Mus musculus: one gene and its partners. The protein of the gene in region 1 interacts with the protein of each later gene in a pairwise test. Links are inferred from orthologs where the notes say so. Each region holds a gene or a part of one and is shown in the gene's direction. Other genes may lie near its edges.

Region 1 (4,660 bases):
CCCTGGCTGTCCTGCAACTCACTTTATAGACCAGGCTGGCCTCGAACTCAGAAATCCACCTGCCTCTGCCTCCCAAGTGCTGGGATTAAAGGAGTGCACCACCACCACCCGACTTAAAGGTTTTTTTAATGGTACCTTTAAGTGTAAATTTTTACTTTTCTCTTCTTTGCTGTAGCTAAAGACTGAATCCAGGGCTGTGAATGTGCTTGGTGCACACTCTGCCACTGAGTTGCATCCCAGCCCATCTGCTCATGTGTATCTTATCTAGCCCAGTTTGTGTTTCTATTAGTGTGTGCAGTACATGTGTGTACATATGGATTTGGTTCTTTCCGCCTTTCAATGGCTCTGGGGATGGAACAGTGGTGTTGGGCACATGCAGCAAGTGCTTTACCTGCTGAGCCACTCGCCAGCCCGTGATTTGTATTTTAAGATTGCTAATTTCAGCAAACATGTTCGTTTTGTGGCATCAGTTTTATTGATCTATTTTTTTTTAACTGTGTAGTGATTCAAACATAGAAAATATATATTCTATTTAGTATTCAGTATAAATTCTATATCGCTTTTCCCAGATACTATAAGTTTTTAAGGGAAAATAACTGAATATTGTTAAAAGCTGCCCTTTGTTTGGGTGGGGGGTGTCTCTCTGTTTCCTGGCAGTCACTGTATAGATCACACTGGTCTTGAACTCATAAAGATCTACCTGGCTGGAATTATAGATGTGTGCCACTATGCCCAATTCGAAAGCTGTTTTGTGGGGCTCCCCATTTCATCCTCTACTCTCTGACTCAAACAGTACTGTAAAGGTAGCGTGTGTCCTTCCTGTCTGTGCTTTGTTTTGGTTTTTATTATTATTTCATGTATGTGAGTGTTTTGCCTGCATCACATGTATGCCTGGTACCTGTCAAGGTCAAAAAGAAGCGGGTAGATCTCCTGGCACTGGAGTTACGGACAGTTACGAGCTACGGTGAGTGTCAGGAATTGAGTCTGGGCTCTCTGCGAGAGTAACAAGTGCTCTCATCACTGAGCCAGTTCTCTAGCCCGTCTATATGTGCTTTTAACCTTTACTGAATATGTCTATGCCTCCACCCAATGTAATGGTTTTATGTTTAAAATCTTAATGTAAATGATACTGTATATTCTGCAACTGGCTTTTTTTATCGAGTTCCTTTTTAAAATGTATCTGTTGATATATTTATATAATCAGTTTCCCAATGCAAGGACTTGAACCCACGAGTTCCTGTGCAAAGTCACTACCACTAAGCCATTATTTTCAGCCCCTGTTCTCCTTGGACATTTTGTTTTATCTACAAACTCTCCATGTATCTGAAATAGTCCTAGTGCTCCCAGTGATGCGCGCTCAGTGCGTGCGTTACAAGTGTGTTCCTGCTGAGCGCTTTCCAGCTCTGCAGTAATACCAATAAAAAGTGAATTGCAATATTTAGATATACCAGTAAATTCCTAGCCTGTTTGTTATATTTTTTGTGTATATATTTGCTTCTCCTTTTCAAGTACAACAAGTATTTCAGGATCTTAGCTACCAGTACTGTTTAATCTGAGTCAGTACTGTCAGGATCTAGCTACCAGTACTGTTTAATCTGAGTCAGTACTGTCAGGATCTAGCTACCAGTACTGTTTAATCTGGGTCAGTACTGTCAGGATCTAGCTACCAGTACTGTTTAATCTGGGTCAGTACTGTCAGGATCTAGCTACCAGTACTGTTTAATCTGGGTCAGTACTGTCAGGATCTAGCTCCAGGGTCTTTAAAATGTGAAGTAAATACTTTTTTATTTAAAAGTTTTTATTCCTTGAGACTGGAGAGACAGACCAGCAGTTAAGAGCTCCTACTGCTCTTTGAGAAGACCAGAGTTAGGTTTCCAGGACCCATGTTAGGTGACTCACAGTGCTTCTAACTCTAGCTCCGGGGGACTTAATGTCCTCTTGTGATTCTTGCATGTATTTTGTACATAGACGCTTATACAGGCATGCAGAAGTAAAGCCGTAAAAAACAAAACCTTTAAATGTCTAAAAAGTTTACTTTTATTTCTCTTATAGAAGAATCAAAAGAACCTCTCTCTGATGAAGATGAGGAAGACAATGATGATGTTGAACCCATTTCTGAATTTCGATTTGTGCCCAGTGATAAGTCAGCATGTGAGTGTTGGTGACACTGATCTTTCTCTGTGTGCCCCCTCTCCCACTGGCACACGCACCTCACCTTCATTACAGTTACTTCCATTCTATTGCTTTATCTCAGCTTAGCCTCCTTAAAGCCATTGAGCAGGTACTTTCTACCATCACAGGTTGTGAAGAAAAAGAGAATATTGTGAACAGTGTGGTACCTGGTGCATTTTGTGCAAGAAGATTCTGGTTAATCTTATTGGTTGATGTTGCTGACACAATGTCAACTGCAGGAAGCACTTTCAGAGTGAAAATGTGGAGACTAGACAGTATGTCATGTGACAGAGGCTTTATCCTATACAGTACTGGATATGTAGACCAGGCCTTAAACTCAAAGAAATCTGATTGCTTCTGCCTTATGAGTGCTGGTATCAAAGGCCTGAACCATATCACCTGGCCTGGCCTTTTTCTTTTTTTTAAAAAAGATTTCTTTATTTATTTTATGTATGTGAGTACACTGTAGCTGCACAGATGGTTGTGAGCCACCATGTGGTTGCTGGGATTTGAACTCAGGACCTTTGGAAGAGCAGTGAGTTCTCCTACCCGCTGAGCCATCTCGCCAGCCCTTGGCTAACCACCCATGAAGAGATCTCATAATGTCTTAAACTCTTACTTTGTGACTTTTTCATTGTCTCAAGTACTATTCATGATCAATTTCTATTTGAATTTTGCAGATTTATGAATATAGTTATCCTAGTAAAATCTGCCTGCTTTTAAATTGGTTTATCATAGTGGTTATATTTATTCTAAAATTCCGTGGTACACTGGGAGAAGTATTAATTATAGTTTAATGTCTTTCAGTGGAGGCGATGTTCACAGCAATGTGTGAGTGCCAGGCCTTGCATCCAGACCCTGAGGATGAAGACTCGGACGACTATGATGGAGAGGAGTATGATGTGGAGGCACATGGTCAGTGACTCGGGCCTTGCGGCTTTCCTGTTTCATTTTAAGCATGTAGTTGTGCTAAGGGCATAAGATGAAGTAACCCATGTAAGATGGCAGTAAATAAAGGGAATGATCCGTTAGCATATTTGTGCCTAGGCCCTTTCAGCAGACAGATTGGGGAAATGAATGGCTTTCTCAAGCTCATACAACAGTAAGATGTTAGGAGTGGGGATGGAAAATAGAAACAAGTGGGAGAGAAAGTGGGTGGTCAAGAGCACGCCTCAGGCTGCCCCACCCTCCCCACTGAGAGCTCTTTCATATAGACCTCTTTAAAGTTGTATTTAATGTGTTTATTTTACATGTATGAGTGTGTTGCCTGGATTCATATATGTGCACAACATTGTGCCTGGTGCCCTCAGAGGCCAGAAAAGGGTTTTGGAACCCTGTGAGCTAGAATTACGGTATGCACTGCTAGCTGGGTGCTAGAAACCAAACTCCAGTGCCCTGCACCGACTCTGGAGTCCTCTTGCTCTCTCTCGAACTTTAATTTCCTTTTCCCTAGAACCATACTTCATTTATTTACAGCTATTTCCCCTTTCCTCCCCAGACAAGTGAGGCAGGAATGGGCTCACTTGCCTGATAGGCTGCAGCCTTAGGCACAAATGGTTCCTTTTGCACCAATCTGAGTATCTAAAGTTCTTTCCTACATATGAATCCAGTTCCTGGCCTTAAGACTACCCATTTCTGGGATTATTCTTCATATACACAAATATGTTCTCATTTCTAGAGATTTTAAAAGTGGTTTTATGTTTTATCCTTTATGTATTTTTTTTAGATTTTCTGATTTTTTTAAAAAGGAGCATATGTTAATTCAAAATTCTTTTAGTATCAAATTTTGTGTTTACTTGTAAAATTCCTACCTTGGAATAATAAAGGATCCACTAATTTAAGAAACACCCTCTTCCTTCTGACTCCTAGAAAGTCTGTTCTCTGGGAACTACTGTTTTCTAGTTTATTATCTTTTTAAATGTTTTCTCAATCTCTTTTGTCTTGTCTTTTTAGACAATGACCCTATCAATAAACACTGGAAGTTTTTGGAAGCCTATACATCTCCAGCAAATACATTATTTATCATCCATTTTCTTTTTTTTTCCAATTGTTGAATAAAATAATTTAAAAGTGTTCTGTTTGTTTAGAACAAGGACAAGGGGACATCCCTACATTTTATACCTATGAAGAAGGACTATCCCATTTAACAGCGGAAGGGCAAGCCACGTTGGAGAGATTAGAAGGGATGCTTTCTCAGTCTGTGAGCAGCCAATATAATATGGCAGGCGTCCGAACAGAAGACTCAGTAAGAAATTATGAAGGTGAGTGTTTTTTCTCTTCAGACTGGGAAATCGTAGCCAAGTTTTCTCTTAGAAGCCAGAAGACTGCAGAGTCATTGCTCCAGACTCTCATACAGTTTTGGCTCTGAAGGAGTGACATGTGGCAGTCCTGTGCTTTCTAACCCCAAGCCGATTGTGTGCCACACCTGGATTTAAAGCACATCTCTCAATATTTACTCTTTTGGGGTAGGGGCGCGGGTGTTTTCTTA
Region 2 (5,112 bases), on another chromosome or scaffold:
AAACAGTGATACATCTGTCTTTTTGCTGTGTCAAGCCTGCAATATATTTTCCAAGTGGTTTGGTTTTTAAATAAAGTTTCATTGTCTCCACCTTTTTCTTATGGGTAGTGATATATCAGTAAATGGGAAACACCAAGAGGAAGGCAGAGAGCATCATAACTTGAAAGCTGTTAATGTTGAAAAGATAACTTAGGATTAAAGGTACATGGGGGGGGGGGCTGAAAAGATGGCTCAGCAGTTAAGAAAACTCTTCCGAAGGTCCTGAGTTCAAATCCCAGCAACCACATGGTGGCTCACAACCATCCTAATGAGATCTGGCGCCCTCTTCTGGAGTGTCTGAAGACAGCTACAGTGTACTTACATATTATAACTAAATTGTAAAAGGTGCATACTGTAATTTCAGTACTGTAAGGCAAGCTGAGGATTTCCCTCCTGCTTTGAGGTCAGTCTTTGCTAAAGACTATCATTATTCATGTTCGTTTTCTAGTTTCAACTAGCACAGCAAGTGGTGGGGAGAGTGTATAGCTAAGCATTCTTGTGCTATTTTTTTGTTGATGACAAACTAATCATGAGGAGAACCTCAATTGAAGAGCTGCTTCCATCTAACAGGTCTCTGGACATGTCTGTGGGTCATTAATGACTACCATGAGAGAGCCCAGTGCACTGAGGGCAGTGCCACCACCCTGGGAGAGTGCACACCTTTATTCCCAGCCCTCAGGAGGCAGGGGCAAGCTCAATACCTCAGGACTTGTGTGGTACTCCTCAGCTTTTATGTATGGACTGTAGTGTGCTAAGTGGGTTCTGAAGGCAGCGTTAGAATTGCAGAATTGATGAATCAGAAATACCCCAGACACTGGATTCACGTCCTCAAGAGAATCCGCCTAGCCACCTTCCTGCTACTGATGCGGACAAGCTATTCTGTGCTTCAGGAGCCCTCGGCTTCGCCTGGATGTGCTTAGGAAATTAAGGGCAGCGTGGTGCAGATGCCGTTGATTCTAGCACGGGAAGCAACAGTTCAAAGCCAGCGTTGACTACACAGTGAACTCGAAGCCAGCATGAATTACGTCAAAAACAATGAGGAAGGGGCAGGGGAAATGACAAAAATGTAAAGAGAAAAAAAGTGTAGTAAGTGGGAAAAGGAAAGAAAAGAAGTGACACACAGGCTGGAGAGACGCTTCAGCAGTTAAAACCACTGGCTGTTCTCCCAGAGCTCTGGAGTTCAATTCCAGCACCCACATGGTGGCTCACAAGCATCTATAGTAGGATCTGAGGTCCTCCCCTGGCGCGCAGGTGTACATGTAGAGCACTCATACATAAAATATAAATGAAGGGGTCTGTTTTTAAAGTGACCTGCCACTTCAATTTTACACAAAGGAAGCTTAGCCGAACACAGCCTCTCCGTCGTGGCCTGTCACTGGCGACGCAACCGGAAGCGTGGCTCTGGTCCGCAGGTTCAGACATCCCCATCAATATCGCGAGATGAAAGGTAATGTTCTCCGAAGGCGATTGGCTCGCGCGGCGGTGACGTCAGACACCAGCGCCAAGCCTGCCTTGCGCGCGTTTCTGAGCCTGCTCACTCCTTCGCCGTTGTGCCGAGCCCGCAGAGGAGTCGCCATGAGCAAAGCCCACCCTCCCGAGCTGAAGAAGTGAGTAGAGTCGGCCCTATCGAGACTTCTGTCTCGCTCGGGCTGCCGCCGCTGGTCCCGACGGTCGCGGGAGCCGGAAGTGGCGCTAAGGTCCGGTCGGCATGGTTACTGCAGTGCCGGTGCCTCTGTCTTCCCAAAGCTGGGGCTCTCCTAGGCGGGCAGCCAAAGGCAACCTGGTTGGGGACCAGGGCAGCGGTCGAGGTGCATGGTTGTGAGGAACCGGAGACTCGTGGGCTTAAAATGATCGATTGGAGTCGGACGTGATTGGCTGTGATCTATGGGGCCAATATTCAGGAAGCTTAGGCAGGAGAATTACCGCGAGTTCCAGACCAGCCTAGGCTTAAAAAAAAAAAAGACACTGTGTCTCAAAAAGTTTAAGGTGAGGTAGCGTTTTGTGTTTCAATAAATGTGCGCGTTCATTTGCGTTCATCAAGAGAGCTAGGTTTAGTTTTGGGGTTTTTTTTTCCCCTTTTTGGTGCTCAGAGACATGTTTAGTTATATGTTTGTGCACGTGGGTGCAGCTCCTGCGGAGGCCAAAGCGGGCATTGGATCTGCAGAAACAGAACTTGTAGGAGGTTGTGAGCCCTCTGGCGTGGTTAATAATAGCTGGACTCGTGTCCTCTGGACAAGCAATAAGCGCTGGGCCATCTGCAGCCCCAAGAACTAGGTTTCTGATACACTGTCCTTGTATTCAAGTTACATTTAAACGTTGTGTAATATCTTGCTCTGGCAATAAATCCATGGAAGGACATCCATTTTCTACTTGTAAAGAGCTAATTTCTGAAGAATTTTATTCTGTACCCAGTAAAATCAGACAGACCCTTTGGTCTCAGACACTTCTGACTGGCCTGAACCTGTCGCATATGCACATAGTCATTGGGTTGCTCAATACAAGATTAATACTGGGTCTTTTCTGGTGTAGCCAGAAAATAATCTGTCTTGTGTATAGCCTGTTTGCTACTGTAAAGTTCTGTCAAGACCCCAATGCAGGGGAAAGATAACAACATTTGCTGATTTTTGTATTTGAGTGCACATTTTAATCAAAGCCCTCTGTGTGAAACCCCTGCAGTTTTGTTTGAATCTGAATCTGTTAAACCGGGCCTAGAGAGTTGGCTCAGAGGTTGAGAGCACTGACTTCTCTTCCTAGAGGTCCTGAGTTCAATTCCCAGCAACCACATGGTGACTCACAACCATCTGTAATAGGATCTGGTACCCTATTCTGGCTTGCAGGCCTATAGGCAGAACACAACATAATAAAGATGTATTAAGCCATAAGTCTGACATTTTAAAAAGAAGTTATTCTGCACTGTTTGTTTTGATGATGAGCTAATAAATGAGGTCTGGATTTAGCAGGAATTGGCAAAATGGCATTGGTTTTGAACAAAAGCACTGTTCCCTACCTGTAATCTTCAGTGTCCTCTGATTCTTAACAGATATACTTGGGCCTTTCAGAGACTGGAACTAGTGATTGTGTCCATATTTTTATTGGCGTGTTTGGAGCAGAGCCTGTGTGAGCTACTTTGTCACTGAACTTCTCTTCTCTGAGTTGATGCCTTTTTCTCATCCCTACATTTTATCAAATTTGAAATACTTTTAGATCCGCCTCCTTATTTTCTCATAAACACCTCCTTTTACAGCTATTCACTCCTAGTTTAGCATAACTCCATAGTTCTTAATCATTTCTGGTCCCGTGTCTCAGTAGTTTCAAAGTTGAGCTCCTCCCAACTCCTAAAATGTGTTGCCACAGAAAGTCTTAACCACTGATGAATTCTGCTATACTAGTTTATATCACCACAAAGTCAAGTCCAGACTTCCTAACCCAGCTTTGAAGCCCCACCCCATCTGCAGTCCAGCAGCCATATTTTGCATGGTATATGACTAAAAACAATTTTCTGCACATTAGTGTCTCAGTTACTGACCTCTTGCTGTATAGAGGCATCGTGACCAAGACAACTCTTATAATAAAGAAAGCATTTGATGGGGACTTGCGTACAGTTTTAGAGGCCATGATCATCATGGAAGAACAGGCAGGCAGTAGTTGAGAGCGTTACATGCTGAACCGCAGCAGCAGGCAGGGCAGAGAGACACTAGGCTGGCTTTTGAAACCTCAAAGCCCACTCACTCCCAGTGCCACCTCCTCCAACAAGGCCACACCTCCTAATCCTCCCAAACACTTAATCAGCTGCGAACTAAACATGCACATAAGTGACTCCATGGAGGCCATTCTCATTCAACCTCCACACTGAATGTCAGTTCTCCATCTGTATAACATGGTAATAATAGTACCGGAATCGTAAGTGTTAAATATGTTCCTCTGTTGATTTACAAAATAACTCCTAGTAATTTATAAATGTTATTTATAAATCTATTTCCACCTTCAGATTCTTATGGCTTAAATTTATATTTAAATTCTATCATGGTCTATACATTAAAACTCAGTGAAGCAGCCGAGCAGTGGTGGTGCACGCCTTTAGTCCCAGCACTTGGGAGGCAGAGTCAGGTGGATTTCTGAGTTTGAGGCCAGCCTGGTCTACAGAGTGAGTTCCAGGACAGCCAGGGCTATACAGAGAAATCCTGTCTCAAAAAAAAAACCAAAACAAACAAAACAAAACAAAAAACAATTCAATGAAGCTCAGCCTGGTGGCATAGGCATGTAATGTCTGCTACTTGAGAAGCTGAGGCAAAGAACTACAAAACCAGGGTAGCTAAGAAACACTGTCTTAAACTGAAAAATAGAAGAGAATATACTTGAGTGGTAGAGTATTTGCCTAGAATGCTTGAGGCTCTAGATTCAGTCGTCAGTACAATAAGGAAAGAAAGGAAAGGAACTTTGATATTTTCTAGCCTGTTGCTGAAAGACAGCAGATTTAACAGGCTGATGAGATTGCTCCAAGGGTAAAGGCACTTGCCTCCACACTAGTCAACCTCTGGGACCACATGGTTGAAGGAGAGAACCAACTCCTTGAAGTTGTCCTCTGACTTCTGTATTGGCACCATACAAACAAATTTAATTTTTTTAAACATTTATTTTATTTATTATATTCTACCTACATGTATGCCTGCATGACAGAAGAGGATGCCAAATCCCCATTACAGATGGTTGTGAGACACCATATGGTTGCTGGGAATTGAACTCAGGACCTCTGGAAGAGCAGTCAGTGCACTCAACCTCTGAGCTATCTCTCTAATCTCTGTAATAACAGAGATCTCTGTAATAACACACACAAATGTAACCAAATCTTTGTAATTACATTAGTGTAAGTTCCCTAGCCCATGTCAACAGTTCCGGATTTGAGGCTGGGAAGATAACTTGGCAGTTAAGGGACCTGAGTTCAGTTCCCAGCATCTGCACTGGGCAAATCACAACTGCCTATGGCAGCTTTAGGGTATCTGATGACAACTGCCCTGGTACACACACACTCATATCCAAACAGTACAAGATCCTTACTGCTTTAAATGTTATGTG
Region 3 (5,183 bases), on another chromosome or scaffold:
TTCCACAGGACCAGGGTTTGATTCCCAGCACCTATGTGGTGGCTAACAACTGTAACTCTAGAGGATCCAACACTCTCTTCTAGTGTCTGGGAGCACTGCCCATGTGTACACAGATGGACATGCAAGGAAAAACGCTCACACATATACAATTTTAAAATATTAAATAAGGTGGAAAGAACAGGCAGTATCTATCTCTGGCCTACACAGTCATGCATGCTCCAGCCCTCACTCCCACCCCCAGGAAACCCTGGCTACAATCTATTTAGATTATTACACTAGAGAATTCCACCCTGCAATCAGCAGGTTTAGACTCTCAGAATTTTCACCTGTGTCCCGTGACTGCCTTGCACCTACAGCCAGCCTCAAGAAGAGAAGACAGAATAGAAAGTGTTTCCCTATTTATCCAGACATGATATCCACAGAAGATACAACCTAGCAACTTCCCACTTAATGTAATTATTTAAAAAAAAAAAAACAATAGGGCTGGAGAGATGGCTCAGCAGTTAAGAGCACTGACTGCTCTTCCAGAGGTCCTAAGTTCAATTTCCAGCAAGCACAGAGTGGCTCACAATCATCTGTAGTGGGATCTGATGCCCTCTTCTGGATGTCTGAAGAAAGCCACAGCATACTTACATAAAACAAGTCAATCGAAATAACAACAAAGCCCTTTCATCTCAGACCATCTCTTTCTTCTCTGGAACTTGCCTACTGAGGCTTTTCTAGTTTTTTGTTTTTTTTTTAAATCAGTCAGCTCTTGTGAACTCCTTCACAACCAGCATGTTACAAGCCTGGTAATGCTGTTCCCAGAACATCCAAAGTAGTATCTGTCGGTGATCTAGTTGAAAATATTTCAGTAATGCAGGGATGGATCAGCAGTTACAAGCATCTGTTGCTCTTCCAGAACACCCAGATTTGATTGCCAGCACCCACAAGGAGGCTCACCATTGTAACTCCAGGCCCAGGGCATTTGAAGCCCTCTCTTCTACCAGGAACTCATGTAGTACAGACATAACATACAGGCAAAAACTGTCAAACACACACAAAAAAAGCTAAGATAAAGTAAAATATTTCTGTCACTGAGTTCCAGTCAGTTTAGTCCTTTACAGACGAGTCCTATGCCAAATTATATATATATATATAACATTAGAGCTGGGATGTTGTTCATTTGCTTTGCTTAGAATGTGTCCGCTCTGGGTCAACTTTGCACCCCAAAAGACTGAAATTGAGAGAAACTTACTTACTGGGAACCTTTGATAAGAATCAGGATTTGTGTTCCGGTTTCTCTCTCACACTCACACACACCATAACCAGTGTGTATTGGTGTATATTTTATTCTCTGACACAGGGTCTTGCTATAATAGCTTTAGTTGACCTCTAAACCAGAATCCTCCCGTCTCAACTCCAGGATTCCAGTTGGGCACGAACGCTGTCCAGCTCTTAGCAACATTTTAAATTTTACTAAAGAATACGCAAGTCATAATTTTCTCAATCTTCCCAATAATTCCCCATAGAAAACGTAGACTACGAGCTAATCACGCGGCAGAGAGAAAAGTCTCAACAACCATCAGAAAAAGAGACGAACTACGTCCAACGCGCAGCTGCCACGGCCCACGCATGCGCTTGTGAGAAAGCGGCTGCTCGGGAGGAAGTGGGGGGGACAGGAAGTTCCGCCCCTCTACCGGTTTGGCGGTCCTCTCGGCTCTGCCCTACCCCGCTCCCTTTGAGCCTGAATTCAGCCGAGGTTTTCGCGGCTCCCCGTGCGCCTGCGTGATCCAGTCTTGCTTCACGCGCGGGCTCGCGCTCCGGCTCCCGCCCTGCCTCCGGCTCGCAGTCCCCGGCGCCTTCCTTCGCGGTCCAGGCCGCCCCGCGTGGCGCCAGCACCATGGTGGGTACCGTGACGTCAAAAGGGAGCGCCGCCGCTCGCGGCGGGCGGTTCGAACCGTGCGGGCGTGGGTGCGGGCACTCGTGTCGGTCGCTTGGGGCGGCAGCCAGGCCCCAGGGTTTTCCGTACAGCCTTACTGCCCACACCCCAGTGTGAGGAGGCTGCTCGGAGCCGATGGTGTTTTGGGGGAAACCTTTAGCAAGTCCAAGAGAAAGCCCACGGGCGCCGGGGGAGAACGGGAAGCGAGCCTTGCACTTCTGTGCTGTTGACGAGGACTTTGTGAGGGTGCGGTTGGGAAGCGGTCTCAGCTGGGAGGTGGTCGACTCAGAGAGTGGGTTCTAGCGTCGAGGGGTGCAACGCAGGTCCTGTCACTCCGTGGCTCCGTGAACTGCAGAGTCCCGTTTAACGGATTGTTGTTGGTTATGAAGTTTTGAGAACTACTAGGAGGGGCTACAAAGACTAGTATTTCAAAATACTGTCACGGGCTCCTCCTCCCCGTCCCTTTTCATGTGATAGTTCCTCCCTCTTTTCCAATAGCTCTTCTACTCCTTTTTCAAGTCTCTTGTGGGCAAGGATGTAGTCGTGGAACTCAAGAATGACCTGAGGTAGGTCCTTATTTTAGCGAGTTGGTGGAAGGTGGGGGTGCCGGGTGTCCTGATCCTTTTTGTCGTTGTTGTTGACAAAGTTACTTCAGAGTAGGTAGGCAAAACACAGAAGAAATACCTTTCGTCTTAAGTGTAAAAGATTAGTTTAAGAGTGAGCCTGGTATTGTGACACATGCTTGTAATCCCAACACTGAACGCAGAGGTGTGAGTTCAAGGACAGCTTGGTCTACATATGTCCAGGGCCATCCGGAGTTACACAGTGAGATACAGTTAAGTAACATGTATGTGTAGTCCTGGCTGTCCTGGAACACACAGATCCACATGCCTCTGTCTCCTGAGTGCTAGGATTTGCCTGGCTGTATCATTTGCTCTTAACGATTCAGGAGTTGGGGTAAATGCTTAAATGCTGTACCACTGGAAATATGTTTATGGGTTCTTGTCACATCCGTTAAGGTCTACTTGGTTCCTAATAGTGCTTCGAAAATTATAGTTTCATTGAAGCCGGGTTTTGTTTGCTTTTGTTTTCTTTCATGTACTGGGCATGCTCAACAAGTGAACTTCATATGCAGCCCTCATGTTTCTCTTTAAAATAACTTTTTTTTTTTTTTCCAGACAGGGTTTTTCTGTATAGCCCTGGCTGTCTTGGAACTCACTCTGTAGACCAGGCTGGCCTCGAACTCAGAAATCCGCCTGCCTCTGTCTCCCGAGTGCTGGGATTAAAGGCGTGTGCCACCACCGCCCAGCAAAATAACTTTATTTGTAGACTCTTGAAACCTTTGAACACACATCAGTGGTTGACCAGCAGGATGGTTCTGACCAGTGTGGCCAAGTTAGAAGCTGGCCCAGACTGAGGTGCAGACTAAGACCTTTCATAGTCTAAAAGTCAAATCACACGAATGGTCTACAGAGCTGTGGGGATTCATAGGATGTAGAGAGTGAGGAAGTAAAACTCAGGATCTGAGGTGGTTAAAGTTGGTTACACAGAGGGTAAATATAATATAAGGTGGGGCATGTAAGGTGGTATGGGAGCACTGGCCTTGATAACCTTGCTTAGGGGCTAGAGGGCTGGAGAACTGAGAAGACTTGACTTGTATCTTCATTATTAAAGATAAGTTGGGGGGGATAACATTTGAAATGTAAATAAAGAAAATATCCAATTTTTTAAAAAAGAAGAAGAAGCCGGGTGTGGTGGCGCAGGCCATTAATCCCAGCACTCGGGCTACACAGAGAAACCCTGTCTCGAAAAAAAACAAAAACAAAAAAAAACCAAACAAACAAACAAAAAACTCATACGAGAAAAAAAAGAGTGTAGCAAAAATAATAAAGAGTAATTCCAGCTACCAGTATGTGTACATAGGTCTGTGACTCCAAAGCAGTAAATGTTTACAAATAACAGTTAGGGAAGCTGCAGAGATTGCTCAGTGCTTTAAAAAGAGCTTGCTGGGGGCTGGAGAAATGGCTCAGAGATTTTAAGAGCACTGACTGCTCTTCCGAAGGTCCTGAGTTCAAATCCCAGCAACCACATGGTAGCTCACAACCATCTGTAAAGAGAGCGGACATCAGACGCCCTCTTCTGTAGTGTCTGAAGACAGCTACAGTGTACTTAGATATAATAATAAATAAATCTTTAAAACAAAACAAAACTTGTTGCTCTCCCTGAAAAATAAGAGTTCAGTTTCCAGCAACTACATTAGGTGATTCACACCTACCTAGAACTCTGGCTGCAAGTGATCTGATGCCCTCTTCTGGTCTCTGTGGGTAACTACATGCACATACACACAAATAATAAAAATCAATATTTTAAAAATAATAGTTGATGCTTCTGGGAGTCATGCAGATCTGGGCTGACCTTCAGTTTATTGGTTGTAAGTTTTGTTACCTTCCATGACCTCTCTCATATCCTGGAGGATGATAATACTTTGAAAGATGATTAGCTAAGTGGTGTTGATAGCAGTGCATCCCTTAAACCTTTAATCCAGCACTCAGGAGGTAGAGGCAGAAACAGGTGTGAGTTTGAGGCCAGCCTTATCTACATAGCTAGTTCTAGGTCCTCACAGAGAAACCCAGTGGGGAATGATCATGAATAGTGGGTCCCAGCTGTAGTTCCACAAGTGGAGGTAGGAGGATTGCCATAGTTTGAGGCCAGCCTGGGCGCAGTGAGATCCTGTCTTTAAAGGGAAATACAAGTAGTAAATGGAATGCAAGCCTGGCCTGCAGTAGTTAAATATTAGCTTCTGATGCATTGGTGTGAGCAAAGACTGAGTCTGGGATGCATTTTCGTTTCTACCTCAGAACTCACAGATGCTGCCTGCAGGCCTCAGGTCCTTAAGTTCCTCCCCGACTTGTCGTTCTAGTTTTGATTTTTCCCTCCACGCTGATTTCAGCATAAACCAATGCTTCTTCCCTCTTTGCCCTTGACAGCATCTGTGGAACCCTCCACTCTGTGGACCAGGTGAGATATACAATAAGGGTCAGTTTGTTCTTGGGGAAGGAAAGCAGCCAGTGAGGGTGGGTTGTTGTATCTTGTCTCTAGGGTTAATGACGATGTTCCTCTTTCTTAGTACCTCAATATCAAACTAACCGACATCAGTGTCACAGACCCTGAGAAATACCCTCACATGGTAAGTTGGGGCTGGGGAGGGGGAGGAGGAGGAAACCTTTAAAGCAAAAGGCCCCTGGGTGGCCGGAGGACACAC
Region 4 (5,227 bases), about 79 Mb from region 1:
TAATTAGCTGTGGGACTTGGACAAAATGTAAAAACTTCAGTTTCCTCATCTGTATAGTGGAGATTATATTAGTTCAGACCTCACCAGAGAGTACACTGCTTCTGCCTAATATAGGATAATATTTAGTGGGGGTCGTATAGTGCGGGATTTGTGTACCACCAAGAGAATCTAGTCAGGTTCACCTGCCGCTGCAGCCACCACCACCACCACTCCCCTACCCGCCTACTCCCCATCTCTGTCCCCCGACCCCCATCAGATCACTTCTGCCTCCTGGCTGTTTTGGGATCTTCGGAGCCTGAGTTCCATTTCCTGACAAACTGGGGAAAGGAAGTTGGGGGTTGACAATAAAACCCTTTACCTTTCTCACTTGGAGATTGCCAGAACTACCCGGGGGTCGCACAATCAATAAGGGACGCAGGAAAGTTCCCCAGAGACGCTGCGGATCCAGCTGCCCTACCACCAGCCGCAGCTTGGCTTCTGAAAGGCTTCCGATCAGCGGGACCTTGGTTGGGAAATGGGATGGGAAAAAGAAAAATGAAAACAACCCCATTCCCACCTTATCCTGGGCGCCGTTGCCTACTAGGAGTCCTGGCTCTTCCTGGTAATGCAAATCTCCAGCATCAAAGATTTCCTAGACTGGGAGAAATCTTCAAAGCAAATCTGGTCCAGCCTACCGCAGTCCTAACGAGGAAATTGCAATCGGGTGATGGAAATTTCTAAATAGATGGCTTGGGCATAGAACTCAGTTCTACCAGTGTTGCTATGAGGACTCGTCATCTTCAGTGGGGTCTATCACAAAACAAGCCTGAAGCCTTATTTTGTTGGGTAGGGGCACGCGCTCAAGTCATGGATAAATGGCACAGGCGGCAAAAGCCAAATGATAAGACCACGGTAACCTGAGACTCAATACGAAGGGAAAGAGGGAAATGACGCTGGCTGGGCACCAGCCAGGGCTCACCCGCAGATCCCGGCTCCGTGACATCTCCTCAACCCCAGGGTGCCAGCTGTTCCAGACGATATAGAAAGCCAAGCCCATAGCCAGCGCCAGCAGCAGCAGGGGCAGGAACTGCACTCGCGGCAGAAGACGGCGCTTGGAAAGTGAGGGTGGTTTCATGAGGCCACGATCCTCGAGCCGCTGCCGGGGCCGCCCGCGGCTCCCGGGACTCATGGTAGCTTTGCTCTGAAACCAATCCCGGTATGGTGGTTTGAGTTTTAGGCCAAGATCCGCCTCGCTGAGGTTACAAAACCCAATAAAGAAGCAGAGTAACTGCGTCCTTCCCTGAGACGATTGCGATTGGCTGTCCTAAGCGCCGCCCCACCCAAAAAGGAGGGCGGAAACCTTAAGGCCCGCCTCCACGGAAGAGGACCAGTCAATGGGCTGCGTCCGAATGTGCGAAACCTTCCAAGGCGCGGGGTCACGCCCCTCACGGAAGTCGATCAAGAAACTGTCGTTCAAGGAAAAAAGGGGCGGCATCCATCCCTAAAACAAGGAGCCGATTGGTTTACCTGAAGCCATGCCCTCAAGAAAAGTGTCCGAGGGTATTTGGAAATGGGGTTGTGTTTTCCATCTTCCAACTGGACGGTTTGACGGGAAAATAATTCTAGTCAGACCCCGTATTATTTTCCTCATGAGCAGACACCCTATTGTGATCCTCAGAAGCTTCAAATCCTCCTTATAGGCATTTTCTACAGGAGAGTGCAGCCTGAAGGGTCGCTATGGTAACAGGCCACGCCCACAGCCGCTGGTATTTGGTTGCGCAGGCGCCGACGGAAGTGAGCCGCAGGAGACGGAAGTCCCGCCCTTCTCGCCCTGTACGCCAAAGGCTGGAGCAACGCGCTTGGAGGCGGGAGTGATCTGCGAGCGAAACCTACACCATGTGAGGCCGGGCTGGGCTTTGGCGGGGCCGTGGAGATGGAGGTGGACAGTTTAGCTGAATAACGGTCGAAATGGGGTGTTTTTATAGCTGAGGGTAGAGTTCCTCGGGCAAAAGTAATGTTTTTCCTTCTGGGGTATTTGAGATCGGGCTTGGGGCCTCGCTCGGATCTTGAGTTCCGGAGAGGGGACAGCTTTATTCCATAACGGGCATGAGACTCTCCGAGGTCCTGAGTCTTGTGGAAAGGAACCATAAAGGGAAAGCTGAGTCTGATGGCACATGCCTGGAATCCCAGGCCTCGAGAGGCTGATGCAGGAGGTTCGCTAGTTGGCCTTGGCCAGCTTCATAGCGAGACCGCTTCCAAAAGTAATAGTAATTTTAAATGGAAGTGGTCTTATGAATAAAGAGCTTGGCGGGGAAGGAAGAACTGTTAGAAATAGTGAAAAGTATGGGACGTAACCAGGATAAATTAGAGAACCTAACTAGAGACTGTCAGAGTAGCAGGGTACTACAGTGGTTTGGTGCGTGTTTATTCATTGAGCATATACTATGTAGACTGCTTGTAAGTTAAGACACATGGTAAATAAAAGGTCCTTGCCTCCAAGGGGGTGGGGGAATCTCCCTGGTGCTTGTAAAAAGAGTGGAGTAGGAAAGCCATAGAGTAATAAATAGGTACATACACCTTAGATAATCAGGTTTGGATGGAGAATTGAGCAGGAAAGATATAATGCCAGTAGGTAGCACAGTAGGATGCATTGAAAGCCCAGTTCTTGGGATGCAGATTTAGCTCAGTGGACAGAGTACTTACCTACTGTGGGTACTGGGTTTGGTCCTTAACCACACACAAACTAGACATAGTGGCACGTGCCTGTACTCCCAATACTCAGGAGGCAGAGACAAGTCTGAGTTCTGGGGCAGCCAGGCTTCTACAGTGAGATGTTGTGGGGTGGGGCGGAGGTTCATGGAGAGAGATGATTGAAGTTTAGGTTGCGGATAGAAAGGGCCAAGGTTTGGATGTACCATGGTGGCAGATGACAAGATATAAGGATAGAGTAAGGTTTGAAAGAAGAATCAACTGCCAGGCATGATGGTGAGCCTCTGTCATCTCAGACCTTAGGCAGTGGAGTCAGGAGAATTGAGAATTCAAGGTCAGCGGTGGGTGGAAGAGGTTAGGTAGATGAGCCGGGGCAGGCTACCATGGAAATGTCTCTCCTGCCTCCAGAAAAGACTGCACCAGAAAGGGGGCTGGGGAGACACTGGACAGTGTGGCTTTGATCACGTACATTTCCAACTTGAACCCATCTCACCCCTGGGTTCTCTATCCAGGAGTCTCCTCAATAAACCCAAGAGTGAGATGACCCCAGAGGAGCTGCAGAAGCGGGAGGAGGAGGAATTCAACACAGGTCCCCTCTCAGTGCTCACGCAGTCGGTCAAGAACAACACGCAAGTGCTCATTAACTGTCGCAACAACAAGAAGCTGCTGGGCCGGGTGAAGGCCTTTGACAGGTGAGTGCTGTCTTGGGGAGGGCTGGGTCTGGGTCCGAGGGGCCTGAAGGAAAGGTCATTCCAGAAGGATAATAAGGTGGGCACACACGGTGACAAAGCACCTTTAATCTCAGCACTCGGGGAATCACTATGAGTTGGAGGCCAGCCAGTGTCTCATGGCACGACCTAGCTCAAAAATGTAGAAAGTGGCGATGCTTAACCTTTTTATAATACATATCTTACGTGTTTAGGTGTTTTGTCTGCATATGAGTCTGTATGCTATGGACATGTCTAGTAGTTATCAGAATCCCCTGGCAGGAAATTGGACTGGAATTTCGATATTTGATTTGTTTATCTGTAGACCAGACATCAGTGTCAAATATCTTGTATTGCTTTGTAGTTTGTTTTGAGACAGGGTCTTTACTATGTAGCTCGAACTGGCTACAGATGTGGCAGAGGCTAACCTTACACTTCTAATCCTCCTGCTCCCATCTCCCGAGCGCTGGGATTACAGGATTGCATGAAGCATGCCGTCCTGCTTTATTGTTTTAGTTAGCATGGGACTTGCCTTGTGACTTAGCCATACACATCTGGCACTGTACTTTGCTCTTATTCACTGTCCTCAAGCAAGCATTTGTGGAAAGAACTGATCCAAGTGTGAACAATGGCCACCCGGCCCCATGAGGACAGGACTGTGCAGCACTGGAGTGCGCGTGTTGGGAGCCGTGTCTAACCCCAGCACCCTAAGACCCTCTGGAGGGAGCAAGTGCTTCTCTCCTGCTGTTTCTCTCAGAGTTAGAGTTAACGCCAGAGCCAGGGCCATTTTGGTGGGCTTTACTCTGCTGGGTCCTGAGTTCTTTATTCATCCAATCTTCACACCAGCCCTATGAAATAGACTGTCTCCATTTCATGAAGGGGGAAACTGAGGCACAGAAGGGACACTATAAAGTGAAATCACTTTGCAGCCTGCCCATCCCCACTGTGGAGCCTGGGCTTTCCTTATGCCTGCTGCTGGAGAGTTCACACAGTGCCAGGCAAAGGTGGGCACTCGGAATGCCCCCCCTTACTCCAGCTTCCCCCCCCACCCCTACCCCATCAGGCACTGCAACATGGTGCTGGAAAATGTGAAGGAGATGTGGACTGAGGTTCCCAAGAGCGGCAAGGGCAAGAAGAAATCCAAGCCTGTCAACAAGGACCGCTACATCTCCAAGATGTTCCTGCGCGGGGACTCGGTCATCGTGGTGCTGCGGAACCCACTCATCGCTGGCAAGTAGAGCCTGCTCCCTGCCCTGCGAAGGCCTGCAGAACCCTGCCCAGTGGGCGAGAAATAAAACCCTGTGCTTTTTGGTTTTTATGTTTTCCAGTGGTCTTCTCTGCTCTTGGGTCTTAAAAGAGTGTGTTGGGCTGAGCACTAGGACAGGGCCTGTGGGTGCTGCGGTATATAACAGCCCTGTCTGCAAAGGAGACAGTTTAATTGGACTTTTGTGTATTGTGGACAGAGGGATTCTCTGACAATGTGCAAGTGGGAAAGGGAAGCCTATTTAAGAGGCTCGTGGAGGACCCAGGGCCTTCTGCTCTACCCACAACTCTGTCTATCTGGTATCTCTGTCTGTGTCCTCCCAGGCGATCATGGGCTGGAGGTCAGGAGTCTCTGCCCTCTTTACATGTATATAAAACATGTATGGGTGTTTTGCCTGGATGTGTCTGTTCTTGGTACCCATAGGAGCCAGAAAAGGAGAGTTGGATGCCCCTAGAGGTAGTTACATGTGGTGGTGAGGCAGCCATGTGGGTGCTGGGAAAAAAACCTGGGTCTTCTACAAGAGCAACAAGTGCTCTTAACTGTTAAGCCATCTCTCTGGCCCTTTAGC

What was found.
Region 2: the proteins of Clns1a (region 1) and Snrpg interact in binary tests that used the Homo sapiens proteins (3 or more experiments, as listed by UniProt). The two-hybrid records come from large-scale screens. The link is inferred for Mus musculus from reciprocal best matches to the Homo sapiens genes CLNS1A and SNRPG.
Region 3: the proteins of Clns1a (region 1) and Lsm2 interact in binary tests that used the Homo sapiens proteins (3 or more experiments, as listed by UniProt). The link is inferred for Mus musculus from reciprocal best matches to the Homo sapiens genes CLNS1A and LSM2.
Region 4: the proteins of Clns1a (region 1) and Snrpd2 interact in binary tests that used the Homo sapiens proteins (3 or more experiments, as listed by UniProt). The link is inferred for Mus musculus from reciprocal best matches to the Homo sapiens genes CLNS1A and SNRPD2.

What each region holds. Positions count from the first base shown.
Region 1 is NC_000073.6:97,709,648-97,714,307, forward strand, and holds part of Clns1a (methylosome subunit pICln), read left to right. Parts: intron 1-2,052; coding exon 2,053-2,151; intron 2,152-2,979; coding exon 2,980-3,087; intron 3,088-4,259; coding exon 4,260-4,433; intron 4,434-4,660. UniProt on the Homo sapiens protein: Involved in both the assembly of spliceosomal snRNPs and the methylation of Sm proteins.
Region 2 is NC_000072.6:86,369,969-86,375,080, forward strand, and holds the start of Snrpg (small nuclear ribonucleoprotein G), read left to right. Parts: upstream 1-1,571; 5' UTR 1,572-1,614; coding exon 1,615-1,646; intron 1,647-5,112. UniProt on the Homo sapiens protein: Plays a role in pre-mRNA splicing as a core component of the spliceosomal U1, U2, U4 and U5 small nuclear ribonucleoproteins (snRNPs), the building blocks of the spliceosome.
Region 3 is NC_000083.6:34,980,201-34,985,383, forward strand, and holds the start of Lsm2 (U6 snRNA-associated Sm-like protein LSm2), read left to right. Parts: upstream 1-1,653; 5' UTR 1,654-1,882; coding exon 1,883-1,885; intron 1,886-1,929; exon of another isoform or gene 1,930-2,056; coding exon of another isoform or gene 2,057-2,167; intron 2,168-2,419; coding exon 2,420-2,487; intron 2,488-4,779; coding exon of another isoform or gene 4,780-4,808; intron 4,809-4,908; coding exon 4,909-4,939; intron 4,940-5,048; coding exon 5,049-5,108; intron 5,109-5,183. UniProt on the Homo sapiens protein: Plays a role in pre-mRNA splicing as component of the U4/U6-U5 tri-snRNP complex that is involved in spliceosome assembly, and as component of the precatalytic spliceosome (spliceosome B complex).
Region 4 is NC_000073.6:19,148,018-19,153,244, forward strand, and holds Snrpd2 (small nuclear ribonucleoprotein Sm D2), read left to right. Parts: upstream 1-1,820; 5' UTR 1,821-1,875; coding exon 1,876-1,877; intron 1,878-3,200; coding exon 3,201-3,380; intron 3,381-4,458; coding exon 4,459-4,633; 3' UTR 4,634-4,709; downstream 4,710-5,227. Other genes in the region: Qpctl (glutaminyl-peptide cyclotransferase-like protein), read right to left, coding at 359-502, 959-1,168. UniProt on the Homo sapiens protein: Plays a role in pre-mRNA splicing as a core component of the spliceosomal U1, U2, U4 and U5 small nuclear ribonucleoproteins (snRNPs), the building blocks of the spliceosome.